Oryctolagus cuniculus: one gene and its partner. The protein of the gene in region 2 purifies or fractionates together with the protein of the main gene of each other region. This does not show direct contact. Links are inferred from orthologs where the notes say so. Each region holds a gene or a part of one and is shown on either strand. Other genes may lie near its edges.

What was found. The genes of interacting proteins can lie anywhere in the genome.
Region 1: the proteins of TSEN15 (region 2) and TSEN54 purify together in Homo sapiens (affinity purification with mass spectrometry; 4 studies listed by BioGRID and IntAct, counting the BioPlex papers as one, with this or other methods). This does not show direct contact. The link is inferred for Oryctolagus cuniculus from reciprocal best matches to the Homo sapiens genes TSEN15 and TSEN54.

What each region holds. Positions count from the first base shown.
Region 1 is NC_091448.1:5,052,124-5,054,488, reverse strand, and holds the end of TSEN54 (tRNA-splicing endonuclease subunit Sen54), read left to right. Parts: intron 1-429; coding exon 430-490; intron 491-774; coding exon 775-891; intron 892-1,259; coding exon 1,260-1,410; 3' UTR 1,411-1,735; downstream 1,736-2,365.
Region 2 is NC_091444.1:1,816,944-1,820,622, forward strand, and holds the start of TSEN15 (tRNA-splicing endonuclease subunit Sen15), read left to right. Parts: upstream 1-878; 5' UTR 879-958; coding exon 959-1,033; intron 1,034-1,503; exon of another isoform or gene 1,504-2,317; intron 2,318-3,092; coding exon 3,093-3,174; intron 3,175-3,459; coding exon 3,460-3,595; intron 3,596-3,679. UniProt on the Homo sapiens protein: Non-catalytic subunit of the tRNA-splicing endonuclease complex, a complex responsible for identification and cleavage of the splice sites in pre-tRNA. It cleaves pre-tRNA at the 5' and 3' splice sites to release the intron.

The DNA of each region.
Region 1 (2,365 bases), on a different chromosome or scaffold from region 2:
GCTGAGGAGTCAGGATTCCGAAGGGGTGTGGAGTGGCCAGGTCTGGTTGAGGCACAAGATAGAGGAGCCCACAGGGACAGCCAGATCCTCGGGTGGCAGCAGAGGGCCCGCACGGCAAGGGGGAGAGGCGGTGTGTCAGGCCAAGCGGTCCTTGAAACCACAAACGGTGACGTGGGCGCCTCTGCCCCCGGTGAGCTGTGGTCCTCTCTCCTCCCGCCTCTTGGCAGAACAAGGAGGTAGAGGAAGGCTTGCTCTGTGCTCTTAATTTTGAGCACGGGGCCCTAATGGGGCCAGAATGGTCTGAGCTAAACACATGAACAGGTTCGGAGGTACTGAAAATCTAACCGGGAAAAGGGGGTGGCAGACGCAGAAATGGCGGGAGCGCGGGTGACTGGCCGCCTGCCCACCCCTGGCTCTTGCTCTCCGCAGCCGCCGTGCTTCACCACATCTCTGTGCTGCAGACAGCGCACCTGGCTGACGGAGGCGCTCGGTGAGTGTCCGAGCTGTGCTCGCGGTACCCTGCTTGCCCTGGGGGGTAGGCGGCCGGGATGTAGCTCCTGCGGTTGGTTGTGAGCTGGAGGAGCCTGCCAGGGACCCCTGCCCACGTGCCACAGCTGGTACCCATTCACGGCCAGGGCACGGGGAGCAACGCCAGGTGGGTTTAACCTGGGAGTCGGGAGCCCCTCCCCTTAGAGGACACGGCTTCCTGGAACTGGTGGTGGGCAGGAAGGGTGACGGGGACAGTCTGTGTCCTGAGGTTTCCCATCTCCGCAGGCTGCAGGGCAAGGCCGGGGACCTGGAGATCAGCTTTGATGTTTACCAGGCTGACGCCGTGGCCACGTTCCGGAAGAACAACCCTGGCAAACCCTATGCCCGGATGTGCATTAGCGGGTACGAGCCGGGCGAGCACCGCCCCAGGCTGCTGCCAGCTCTCTGGCCAGGGTGCCGATGGCCTGAGAGGAAGCTGAAGTCCGGAGAGGTTTAGTGGCCCACACAAGGTCTTTCTCCCCTGCGTTGGTCCCTGTGCAGCAGAAGGGATGTAGGTCGGTGGGGTTCGTGGGCACAGGGCTCAGAATTCTCTTCCGGCCCCCTGCAGACCCAGGGCTGGGGGCTCCCCGGTGTCCAGTTTGCAGGCAGAAGAGCCCAGATGCTAGAATTCTTGCTCCCCCACCCCTGGCCCCCATCTTCCTTGCCTGGGAGCCTGGGAGGGGCTCAGAGCCCAGGATGGTCAGGTCTGAGAGCAGCCCTTGTCCGTGCAGGTTCGATGAGCCGGTCCCCGACCTCTGCAGCCTCAAGCGCTTGTCCTACCAGAGCGGGGACGTCCCCCTGCTCTTCGCGCTGGTGGACCATGGCGACATCTCCTTCTACAGCTTCAGGGACTTCACGCTGCCCAGGGACCTGGAGCACTGACCACGCGGCTGGGGGCGGAGGGGCTGCAGCCTGCCCTGGGGAGACCTGGACTGTCTGTTCTCAGGGACCATCCAGCGGCCTCCCGGGCCTGGACTCTGACCTGTGGTCTGGACCTTGGCCCTGGTGCCTGACACCACTCCCCTCCTCCCTGCCTGGCCGCTGCACGCTGCCAACGCCCGCACCCGGGATCGCCGCCTTGCAGGGACCCCTTCGGAACTCAGACCCGGGCAGAGGAGGGGGCCCAGAAGAGAGGACTCTGTGCCTTTAACGAGAGGGTGCCTGCTTCTTGCCATAAAGCCAAAGCCATTAAAAACGGATCTCTTTATTTTTGTGCGTGGTTGGATATGCCGGACAGACCCCCAGCCTCTCCTGTTTGGCCACTCACTGGGAGGCGCGCGCTTTGGGGCGGCGGAGGGAGGGAGGGCCTCTCTTCACCAGAGCGGGGCGGCTCAGGACACAAGGGTGGCCGGGAGGCGCCGGGTCGGTTTAGTTTGACGCTGCGCCCCGGGGGTCTGCCAGCTGCTGCGGGGGGCGCAGTTCTAGCCCTTCGGCTCCCGCCTCTCCAATCCTCTCCCTGGCTTGAGCTAGAAACTCCCGCCGCTGCTGGCCTCCGCAGTGGACACGGAGGAGGGTCCTGGTTTGGGGCCCACCCCAGGGAAGGCCTCGCCCCCAGCACCACTCCTCTGCGCGGTGCGGGAGGGCGAGGCCCGGCCCAGCGTCCACCGCGGTCTCCAGGGCTCGCACCCTCGGGAGGAGCCGCCCGCGGGGCCCCTCCGGTCTGGCTGGCAGGCGTTCCGGGAACTATTTCCTCTTCCAGGAGGCGGCGGGGCACTGGGCGCGGCGTGCTGTCCTGCGGCCAGGTGCGCGCAGGTGAGCCGGGGCGGGCCGGGCGCGCCCCGCCCCCGCGCTCCCCGGGGCCGCGGATTGGCCGGAGCGCGGCCCCCGCCCCCGAGGG
Region 2 (3,679 bases):
CTGCTGCTCCCCCCGGCGTCCGTGTCCCGTGACTCCGCGTGGGGAGGCTCAGGGGTGGCCCTGCTGCTCCCCCCGGCGTCCGTGTCCCGTGACTCTCCGTGGGGAGGCTCAGGGGTGGCCCTGCTGCTCCCCCCGGCGTCCGTGTCCCGTGACTCTCCGTGGGGAGGCTCAGGGGTGGCCCTGCTGCTCCCCCCGGCGTCCGTGTCCCGTGACTCTCCGTGGGGAGGCTCAGGGGTGGCCCTGCTGCTCCCCCCGGCGTCCGTGTCCCGTGACTCTCCGTGGGAGGCCCGGGGTTGGCACTCCTTCCCCCAGCGTGTATCCTGCTCCACTTTCCCACGCGCACTCCGGCGGCTCTGGCCCGCGAGCTGGGGCTCTCCTGGGCAGGCGTGCGCCCCCCGTCGTCCCGCTCGCTTCCCGCACCCCTAGGCGGTGGCCCGGCGCACTATGCCCGGGAGTTCTGGCGGCTTCCTGCTGGGCCTCGTGCCCAGGGCCTGCCGAGTCCGGAAGGAGACGTCCCGTCCGGCCTGGGTCCGGCCTGGGCCTCTGGGTTCCGAGCCGCCCGCCCCGCGGCCCCTTCCTCCCAGGCTCCCGCGCTGCACCCCGCAGCGGCGCCGGGCCGGCGACCGCCCTCTCCTCAGGCCGCTTCCCCGCTCCTGGGGACGCGGCCCCTCATCCGCTCCCCGCATCCCCGGACGCGGGCTCTGAGCGCCGCGGCGGCCGCCTCACGCGGGACTCGGCCCGGCTCTGAGGAAACGCGGCGACGCCGGGAGGCGTCTGCGACTTCCGGTCCGGGCGGGCTGCGGGGGCAGCGGAACCCAGGCGCGAGGCCCGTGCTCCCGGCCGGACGCCGATCCGCGTGCACTGGAGGCGGAGCCCGGCGCGCGGCCCCAGCCGCGGGCCGCACGTGCGCAGCCGGGAGGCGGAGCCAGGCGCGCGGGTCGGTGCAGCGCGGCGCGCCATGGCGGAGCGCGGCGGCGACGGCGGCGCTCGCCCGTGGGCCCCCGAGGACGCCTGGATCGGCAGCCACCCCAAGGTGAGGGGCCGGGCGCGGGCTCCTCTCACGCGTGGGCGGAGACGCGGCCGGGAGCCGTGCGGGGTGGCGCGTGGGCGGGGACGCGGCCGGTGAGCCGTGCGGGGTGTCGCGTGGGCGGGGACGCGGCCGGGAGCCATGCGGGGTGTCGCGTGGGCGGGGACGCGGCCGGTGAGCCGTGCGGGGTGTCGCGTGGGCGGGGACGCGGCCGGGAGCCATGCGGGGTGTCGCGTGGGCGGGGACGCGGCCGGGGAGCCGTGCGGGGTGTCGCGTGGGCGGGGACGCGGCCGGGGAGCCGTGCGGGGTGTCGCGTGGGCGGGGACGCGGCCGGGGAGCCGTGCGGGTGGCGATGGGCCCGCGAGGTCGGGAGGGCCGGTTGCCCCGTGTGCCGAGTCCCGCCCCCGCCCCCCGCCCTCGCCCTCGCCCCCTCCCCCGCCCTCGCCCCCTCCCCCTCTCCCCCGCACCCAGGGCGGCGCGGTGTTGGGGGTCTCCCCCTGAGAAACGGGGTGACCACGGCGCGCACCGCGTGGGGCTCCTCCGGCTTAGGTCGGTGGCTGTTGGTCAGGCGTCTGCCGCGGGGAGTGGCCGTGCTGGTCACTCAGCTCGCTCTTTTACGTTTCTTAAGACTGGGGCCGGCGCTGTGGCGCAGCCGGTTAAAGCCCTGGCCTCCCATATGGGCGCCGGTTCGAGTCCCGGCTGCTCTCTGCTGTGGCCTGGGAAAGCAGTGGAGGATGGCCCAGGGGCTTGGGCCCTGCACCCGCGTGGGAGACCGGGAAGAAGCTCCTGGCTTCAGATGGGCACAGCTCTGGCTGTTGCAGCCATTGGAGGAGTGAACCAGCGGATGGAAGACCCCTCTCTCTGTAACTCTGTCTTTAGAGACTTTACCGTTTATTTGGAAGAGTTAGAGAGAGGGAGAGGGAGACCCGACCCTCCACCGTTCACTCCCCGGATGAGTGCAGTGGCTGGGGCTGCAGGATGCCGGCCACTTGGCCGGTGGTCAGTGGCCTGGTGGCCCGTGGTCGTGGCTTCCTGCGGTGTGCACAGAGCCAGCCCCAGGCTCAGCCTCCAGTGCAGGCCGTGATAGACTGAGCGTGGAGGCCGAGTTCCGCAGAGAACTGAGGGACTTAGCGTTTCCTGCCCAGCACTTTTCTCACTGAGTCCGCTCAGTCGGTTGTGAAGAGGCCCGGCCGGGTGCAGTGCGGGTCCGTGTGCAGACCTGCGCTCTGTAGACCTGGACAGCAAGCTTCGGAGCGGACGCACTCTGCAGTCGGGGAGAAATAAACACCAGTGGGTATCTGATTTCCGGCTCTGCCTTTGTGTGGCTCGGTTTGCCAGTGACTTAGGTCCGTCCGTGGAGCGTGGTGGCAGGGCGGCCCCCGCAGGCACCACTCCCCTGCCGTCCGGCTCACAGCCCCTCGGCGCCCCGTCGCGCGGAGGATCCGGACCTCTGGCGTGGCCCCGCCTGCGGTTGCATGGCAGCCCTGATCTGCACCTGTGCGCTGACACCCGTCTTCCCAGCCGCCCTCGCGGAGCTCGCCCTGCGCGAGCCCTGCTCGCCCGGGGACGCGCGGCCTCGGCGTCCCCTCGGAGACGCGTTCCCCCTGCAGCTGGTTTGTCCGCTTCGGTGACACCTCCCGGGCGTGGGGAGGAGGGGGCGTGGCGTTCCGGCAGTGTCTCCCCATGCAGGTGACAGGCCCCCACGAGACCCCGGGACAGCCCACGGCTGCTGCTGCGGGTCTCGGACGCGTGTGGCTCACCCTCACCTTGTCGACTGCTCGCTGTGGCTCTGCGTTGCTTGTTCTAAGGGCAGGGCCTTGGGCCCGTTCTGTCACTCACCGGCCACACCCCGAGGGGAGCTCCGTGTGTGGTCTCATCCCATCGCGGTCACAGGTCGTTTTTGCCCAGTTTGTGTGTTCTGACAGCTGCAGACCCTCCGGAGGCAGATGCCATCCTGCGTCGCCCTCTACCTTCTGTGCAGATAGCACACGTGCAGTGACACGCGCCCACTGGAGGGGCACCCGAGCCTCCCTTCCGCGTCTGACGCCCCCATTTTGATTTCCAGTATTTGGAGATGATGGAGTTGGATGCGGGAGATGCCACGCAAGTGTACGCAGCGTTCTTGGTTTTCCTGGACCTCATGGAGAGTAAGCCGCCCACCTCTGTGTGGACTGGGGCCGTGCTGGGGTCGGGCGCTGGGTTGGGATCTCCGCGCTGACGTTACGGTGAGCAGTCGCTCATGCATTTGCTGCTAGTTTTGTCAAGCAGTTTTGCAGCTTCCTTATCTTTTTACGTTGGGAATTATTGAGTAACAGAAACGCTAGACGAGTAGAGAAGAGGCCGGGGTAAGGGTGACATTGCCACATAGAAGTTCGGAGCCTTTACTTTGGCTTTTGATAAGCGGTCTTGCCCGTTCGACGCGGCTCTTCCAGGTAAAAGTTGGCATGAAGTGAACTGCGTGGGACTGCCAGAGCTGCAGCTCATCTGCCTGGTCGGCACGGAGATAGAAGGGGAGGGCTTGCAGACCATTGTGCCCACGCCCGTCACAGCCTCCCTCAGCCACAACAGGTGAGCGCGGGTTTTGGTCTTGGCTAACCGACAGTTCAGAAGCGAAGCAGCCGGGATTCAAACCCGTGGACAAGAGATGCTGGT